Linked DNA regions of Rattus norvegicus. The protein of the gene in region 1 interacts with the protein of each later gene in a biochemical or structural test. Links are inferred from orthologs where the notes say so. Each region holds a gene or a part of one and is shown on either strand. Other genes may lie near its edges.

Region 1 (4,314 bases):
TTTAAAGAACACCGTGACTCAGATCTGACCTTGTAAAGTAGAGCCTGTCTCTGGAAAATTACCACCCTCATTCCTTCAGAATAAAGATGTCCAGTATTTGGGCAGTAGTGTTAAGGCTTGGTGTTTTATTTTTGCATTTAGTTATGCATGAGGGAGACACAGATAAAGAAGTCCGAGGACTTGGGGGAGTTAGGAGAATCAAACTCAGGTCGTCCCCTGAGCCATCTTGCAAATGACTGGGGAGCAAACCAAAGGGAACTCTATCGTATAAAGACCCATGATGGGTGTTTTTAAGAATTATAACAAAGTGATTAATTTTCAGATTAAAAAAAAAACTACAGAAATATTTGGCTTGAAAAAATAGACAGTTTATCCCCTTTAGAAAATTCAACAACTGTTTACAGAGCATACATTCTGAGGTAGGCACTAACACACGGCTTGGGAATATGATTAAAAAGTGTACCCTATGTTATTTTATGTAATTCACATATAGAGATGTAACTTGCTGGTTATAGTGTACAATTCTGTGACTTCGAGTGTATTCATAGTTGTATAACAACAGTTTTAGAATATTCTCACGTCAGGAAACTAGTACCCCAACCTCACCTCCAGTAGAAGGGGACTAATACTCCACACTCCATGCATTTGCCTTTATCGTCGGGATAGAATTTAGCTCTGTGTGGCTTGACTCAGGCATCTTCAACGTTCACTGATTTTGTGGCATGTGTCTGTACTTTATTTTCAAACACTATATTCCACTGGAGTTTCCTCCCTCTGGGTTATTAGGAAACATGCTACTGTCAACCTCTATGTAGAGACTGTGTGGGTATATGTTTTCGTTTCTCTTGTATGTTTTTTTAACAAGCAGTGAAACTGCCAGGACAAACGGTCACCCCTTGGTTTATCTTTTAGGAACAGGTATTTTCCAAGAAGCTCAGCAACATTTGACATTCTCACCTGTGGTGAAAGAGGGAACAGATTTTCATTTCCTGTTAAATTGGTTACTCCGTTTAAAAAATATTCTATCTCCGGGCTTCTGTTTTAAAAACATTCTATCGCAAGGCTTCTGTTACTTCCTAAGCATCATGTCTCCTCTTTAGGACACAAGGAAGCCTCTAGTCCACAGGGTGGTGGGATGGAGGGTTTACCTGCTTTGCCAGGGAAGAGCAACGGACCGGTGTCCTGCCGCCTGACCACGCTCACAGGCCTGCCGTCATTGCCCACAGGCCCGGCTCACCCTAGAGCCGGGCTCCGGCGCGCCCGTGGCGTCAGTGGGCCCAGGGTCGCCAGGGATGCTGCAGGGGACCCGGACGCGGGGCCCTAGGTCGGGTCTTGTGCATTTGGGGCTGCTGCGCGCCCGCTGTGGGCGGGGGACGAAGGCCGCGCCCCCGCGCCCGTCCCGCCCGCGACCCGCTAGGGGCGGTGGCCCGCCCCGAGTCCGCCGAGGCTCTTCCGCGCCGGCAGGGGCAGCAGCGGGAGCGGCGCGGGGCGGAGCGGCGCGAGCAGCCAGGAGCGGCCCGGCCCGGCCCGGCGCGGCGGCGGCGGCAGCGGCAGCGGCGGCGGCAGCGGCGGCGGCAGCGACGCCAGAGCCCGTGGGCGCCGTTCTCGAGGCCGCCGCAGGCGCCTGGCCGCAGCGCGGGGAGCCTCGGGCGCCGGAGCCCGCCGCCGCCGCCATGCCGCTGCTCTTCCTCGAGCGCTTCCCGTGGCCCAGCCTCCGCACTTACACGGGCCTCAGCGGCCTGGCCTTGCTGGGCACCATCGTCAGCGCCTACCGCGCCCTCAGCCAGCCCGAGGACGGGTCGGGCGAGCCGGAGCCGCTAACGGCCCCACTGCAGCCCGAGGCGCTCGCGCCGGCGCGCCTGACCCCCGGCGGCCCCCGGGTCCGCGACGTGGCCCAGTACCTGCTGTCGGACAGCCTGTTCGTGTGGGTGAGCGAGGCTGCGGGCCGGGCGCGGGGGCGGGCGGGAGCCGCCATGTCACCCATTATCCGCAGGGGGGCGTGGCCGGGCCCTGACCCCGACTGAGGCTAGACTGGCCCTCGCGTGGGGCTCGAGGCCGAGCGGCGCTGCGAGCGTGGCGGGCCGCGTAGTGAAGGTGTCCGGCTGCGAAGAACAGCCGAGGCAAGGGCGGTGGGGCCCGCGGACTCCAGGGCGGCGGGGCGCAGCGACCCGAGGCAGTGAGGAGCCCGGACAAGTCGGGTCCAGCTCGGCGTCGTTGGGGGAGGATTGCGGATGAAGAGGGGGCCCAGAGTTAGGGGGGACATTTTACTCTTCACAAAACAACTTCGAAATGTTGCTATTTGGCAATGGATTAGCTCCGGTGGACGCTAAGCAAACAGACCAGCAACATCCTTTTTTTCTTTTTCACGACGGTTCGTGTCTGTTCCCTTTTGACAGAAGGCAGCAAAACATTCGGATTGGTGTGGCAGCTCTTCCTTTGCGATCCATTTTAAAACAAGGGTTCTGGTTTGTCTGCCGGTGCGAGATAAGCAACGTTCACATGGCACAAGTACTGGCTTCGTTTATTACATCATTTTAGGCTGGGCAGATCTGAGAAAATTTTGCTCTCACCTTGCACTTGAGTGCCTCTTCTACGAAACCCTCAGAAATATGAAAAGTTGCTCCAGGATTTAAAAATTATCACTTGGATTTCCTACGGCTTGGTGGGTTCTCGTCCCCTTGCTCGGCTTCTAGAGTAGGCTGCAAATGACTGAGGGGTTAATGTTCCAAGTTTGTAGAACTAAACGCATCTCATTTGTTGTAATTATTCCCACTGTGCTTCATCAGGAAGCAATGGGATTTGTGAAAATCGTGGGCTGTAGATTAGGCCTCCTGGTCCTTTGGTACATAGTTTATAGAAGGCAGTGAAGGGTGAAGTTCCCCTTTCTCTACTCCTGTGAAAAGACGAACTGTTCATCTTTAGGATAAGAAACTTAGAATTGTGCCTTTCACAAGGGTGAAGACTATACTGTAGGTAGTCTTTGATACCTTGTTTTAAGCCTGAGAGAACAGGAACCATTATTTGTATTAATGAAACAGTCAGTAGTATTGTTTAATGATTTTTTTCCCGTAAGTTTCTTCTTGCAAAACCCATGTTCAAATTCCAAGGTTAATACCTCTCCATAAAACATTAATCTAAGGCCTTTTGGTTTTTTTCTGAGAATTGTCGTTTTTAAGAAACGTTCTCTTTCTTTATACATTCTTCCCTCGTGCAGGTTAATTCCCTCCTTTGAATCCTTGTTCCCCAGTTCTCCATTCGGTTTCCTTCCATCTCCTCTGTGGAGTTTCGGCATGCTTATGTTGGTTGCACAGTGTCTGCCCAGATCTGTCTTGGATGTGCTGTGACCATTGTTTTTCCTTTAGTGTTTACTTTGTGCTCTAACAGCTTCAGCACTCAAAAGGCTTTCCCTGGGCCTGGCAGGAACATTGAGTGACAGTGTGGTGGGCCTTTGTCAAAATGGATGCTTCTTGAGCCCCACCCATAAGCCTTGGACATTAACCACCCCCCCATGACCCCCATAAACACAAACCATTGTCTGCCAACGTCAAGCAAGATAGACAAGAACCTGTCCTTTGTGAGTTGCCAGTGGCAAATCTTACTAGTTGTTCGACTCTCTAGAGCTTGTCTTTGTAGAACACATTGCAGTAGTATCTCGGGAGGGTTGGGATTAGCACAGGCAGAAACAGACCCTTCAGAGGTGCCATTTGCAGCACTCTGGAAGACACAGCTGCCAACAGCACTTCCCCTACCCTTAAATGACTCATATGCAAATAAGGCAAATAAGGCAGCTTATGATAGGTGAACACATAGACACATAGAACACATAGACCCGGTGGGGTTTCTAGGTAGGAGTGCTGTGTGGGGAAGGACCGACTACAGCTTTTCTGGCTTAGAAGGAGACCAGAGGTAAGAGGAGTTGACCCAGTGAGAGACAGGAGGTGAGAAGCCTTTGCGGCTCCCTCTCTCCAGGTGTGGCGCTCAGGCTGACTTGTTGCTTATGACAGCCATCTTTGGTTTGCCACTCCTCTGCCACATGGAGTGAGAAAAGTAGTTGGAATTTCAGAACTGGTTCGGTTAGTTCTAAACTTAAAACTTTTTAGACAGATCCTACAAGTTCATGTTTCAAAGGTCAAAGTAAACAAAGGTGACAGACAGGGAAAGGGAATCTCTGCTCCTTGCACCTGCTTCCCTTTCCGTCTTGTAATTGATGCTGGCCTTAACACAGCCGGTGTCTCAAGTCCTTTACCCAGTTCATTTCTGTGGCTTACGCGTGTATGCATGTGAGCATGCTCTGTTTCACACCTACACCTGCTT
Region 2 (3,368 bases), on another chromosome or scaffold:
ACATTTAATTGGGACTGGCTTACAAGTTGAGAGGTCTCGTCCTTCAGCATGTACTAGAGGAGCCAAGCTTTGTATGTCTGGGTCAACTGACTTGGCTTCTGAACCTCCAAGCCCCACCCCCTAGTGGCATTCTCTAAATATCGCCACGTGCTGTGAGGCCATTGCATTGAAATCACCTTAGTGTCACATGGCCTCCCATGTTCCTGACTTTCTTTGACACGGAACTTGGTTATCAGGTCAGATTGCAAAGGGCTCTGAGGGCTGGAATCGGGCAGCAGAGGCTCATGGGTGCCATGAAGCTGCTTCAACTGAGAACTTGAGTATTTAAATACCGGTTTTATATAAAAGCTCTAAACAGGCTGTATACACTCCATAAGGAGAGGATGATACGTATGTGGAGCTAGGTGGGTCAGTTTTTTTTTTTTTTTTTTTTGGGGGGGGGGTCTCCGAAGCTAGGTTTAAATGTGTAAAAAGGTACTCAACACTACCAGACAAAAGGAGCCAGGAAAATCCGACTTTTATTTCTTAAATACTGTGAAGGAAGGGGGGAAATGGTCCCCTGGTGAGAAAGCTAGGGGTCATCAGCAAATGCCCGGTGGGCATTAGGGAAGCGCTGGGGGCTGTAGTTGGGATCTTCCTGCAGTCGTTTTTGAATATCAGACCGGAGCTACAAAGAGAAAACACAAGCCTGTCAGGAGCCCGATTTAGACCTATGATCCCAGAAAGCACAAAGACCCTAACCCTTAAATACTTTCCCCACCAGCCACGCTGGCAAGCCCAGTATGAGATTGCTAAGCCTTCCCAAATGCCACAAGGAAAAAACCCTGACCATCAATGGGCAGCCCCCACACTACCAAATCATCTCTGAATAGATCCAAGGAAGCAGGAACCTGGCCCAACCCCTCCCAATAGACCATCCCTATTCTGCTGCAAAGTGGGGGCACCTGCTGCCTGTAGCTCTCCTGAACCTCTGGTGCCTCCAGGTCCCGGCTCAGGCTCTCGGGGCTTGTCAGGGGCCGAGCTCCGGCTGCCTTAGCTGCCCGGCTCACTGCCTCTGAGAGTAGCAGCTGGGGGCCCTCACCCTGCATTGTCTGGGGGACAGGTTGAGAGGGAAAAGGGGATCAACATCAGACCCAGTGCCACCACCCAGTTCACCCTTTCCATCAGTTAACCAGTGTAGACTAGTAGAGGGCAGGGAACAGCCTGCACATGGTTCTGACAGCAAAGAAGGCACCAGCAGGTCAAAGCACCTGGGATTCAGAGCTAGCTACTCTCCAAGACAAAGTCCACCTTACACACCTAATCACCTGGGAGATGACACAGCTGAGGAACCAGAACTGCCAGAAAACAGTATGTACCATGTACCAATGTACCAATCCTGAACAAGCCTGACTCACAAACAGGCTTTCTAACTAGATGAAGAGACTGAACTACAAGCAAAAGCTTCTAGCTCAACAAGGGTGCTTGACAGAGACACATCCTCAGCAGAGACCAACCTTTCGTCTCTTGGCAGGCATGCCACTGAGGTAGGCATCACTCAGGGGCGGCTGAGGTTTCACCTTCCGCTGGCTCTGAATGTCCTGCTGGATAATAGGTACCCATTCCTGGGGAGGAGAGGATTTGACATAATTCCCACAACTTACAGCTCTTGAACCCACTGGATACCATCCTGCCACTTACAGGGGGGACTGCAGCTGCCCAGGGCTCTGCATCGGCTGAAGCTCCATCCTGTTCGTCTCGGGAACCTCCTTCAGGAGCAGGGGGTGGACCTCGGGACATGGCTTCTTCTGCTGTTGTTCCGGGGGCTGGGGAAGCATCCTCTCTCTGGAAGGCATGGAACAGGAAGGCCCAGACTTCAGAACTCTTTGCCCCAAGCCCCTCTGCTTCCAGCTATCTACTCCACATTATTTGCCTTCTCAAGCAGTACCTGAGGCTCAGGGGAAGTTCTTTCTGCTCCCTGAACTTCCATTGGCTCTTCAGGAAGTGCCTGTGAAATTGGTCAAGGAAATATAAGGGGTGTGGTGGAAGGGTCAGTCCAGTCCATCTCTTCAGTTTCTTCACATCCCAACACCACCCACTATCCGGTCCCTCACCTGAGGAGGATCACCAATCCTGCGCACATATCTGAGGATGGCGTCGGGACCCACGGGCATGTGCTCTAAGACCACCTGAAGCCTGAGTCCCATCATAGTTGTCAGCCAGCTCACCAAGGATGGATTCACCCCACGAGACATGCGGCGCTGAGGGCCAGAAAGCAGATTGACCACATAACTCTCAACCTGCTTTTGCAATCTATTACATCCAGGGCAACAGGTAGAGTGTTTGGAGAAGAAAATTAAAACCCACAGGATATAATAAAAAAGCTGGAGACCTAGAATTGGGTGGTACTTACAATTCGGCCATTGATGACAGCAGCAAGCTCCATTTGCTGGCCCCCCAAGCAGTGCAGGTTCAGGGCCAAGCATTCAAACAGGCCCTGGTTACATAGCTCCAGCAGCCGGGCTCCAAATCCACTGTCTGCAGGGAGGATGGGAGAGGGCACGTGATTCGGGCAGTCCTGCATGGACAGTGAACTACCTAGGCTTGGCTGGCCCCCAGCCTGACCTGTACAGTGCAGCACGTGAGCAGCAATGCTGTTAAATTGCTCCTGGAGAAATTCTAAATTTGTCCGGATGATATCCACACCTGGCTGAACCTGCACCAAAGACTGAGACAAGACACACCAAGAACTCCAACTCAGTACCTTAAGATCTAAAAGGCAGAGGCAGCAGGGACACCCCCGCTTCCCTACCCAAACACAGGAAGGACACACACACAGGACACTTACGAAACTCTCCCGTACATACTCTTCCAGCCCCGTGATCAACGTGTGGGTTGCCATCTGTAGGGAGCATCACAGGTCAGCTTTAGCCCACAGCCTTCAAGAGCCTCACTCCTACCCTACAACTGCAAGGCTTGAGCTGAAGCACAGCTAACACTGACTGACAGGCAGGAGGCAAGAGTAAATAAAGGTGGGAAGGAGGAAACCCCTGGGTCTGGGCTTTCACTCACCCGGATGTTGCTGGACGTGGGCTCCTGGCCACCCAGGTAGTGCTGGTGGAAGAAAGATCGTAGCTGTGGCTGGAGCCGCTGTAGTGGCTGGAAATGGCCATGGAGAAGCATCACCACATCCACCATGGAGAAATTCTGGCACAGAAGAGAGAGCAGAGCTCCAAAGAATCCTAGGGAAAGGGGCAGAAGTGAGAGATTACCTTACCTCCTTGCCTAGCCCCACACACCATCAGTGAATCCCATCTTACTAGCAGAAAGGCCATATCTCCCCAGGCTGCTATTTCCCCAAACTGTAACACCCACATTTTGCTTACCAA

The links. The genes of interacting proteins can lie anywhere in the genome.
Region 2: the proteins of Amfr (region 1) and Bag6 form a complex in vitro, tested with the Homo sapiens proteins (2 studies listed by BioGRID, with this or other methods). The link is inferred for Rattus norvegicus from reciprocal best matches to the Homo sapiens genes AMFR and BAG6.

What each region holds. Positions count from the first base shown.
Region 1 is NC_086037.1:11,001,008-11,005,321, forward strand, and holds the start of Amfr (autocrine motility factor receptor), read left to right. Parts: upstream 1-1,443; 5' UTR 1,444-1,673; coding exon 1,674-1,928; intron 1,929-2,374; exon of another isoform or gene 2,375-2,662; intron 2,663-4,314. UniProt on the Homo sapiens protein: E3 ubiquitin-protein ligase that mediates the polyubiquitination of lysine and cysteine residues on target proteins, such as CD3D, CYP3A4, CFTR, INSIG1, SOAT2/ACAT2 and APOB for proteasomal degradation.
Region 2 is NC_086038.1:3,680,107-3,683,474, forward strand, and holds the end of Bag6 (large proline-rich protein BAG6), read right to left. Parts: coding exon 3,366-3,368; exon of another isoform or gene 3,222-3,365; coding exon 3,052-3,221; exon of another isoform or gene 2,882-3,051; coding exon 2,828-2,881; exon of another isoform or gene 2,708-2,827; coding exon 2,605-2,707; exon of another isoform or gene 2,518-2,604; coding exon 2,393-2,517; exon of another isoform or gene 2,241-2,392; coding exon 2,094-2,240; exon of another isoform or gene 1,988-2,093; coding exon 1,928-1,987; exon of another isoform or gene 1,825-1,927; coding exon 1,681-1,824; exon of another isoform or gene 1,605-1,680; coding exon 1,497-1,604; exon of another isoform or gene 1,092-1,496; coding exon 945-1,091; exon of another isoform or gene 668-944; coding exon 572-667; 3' UTR 501-571; downstream 1-500. UniProt on the Homo sapiens protein: ATP-independent molecular chaperone preventing the aggregation of misfolded and hydrophobic patches-containing proteins.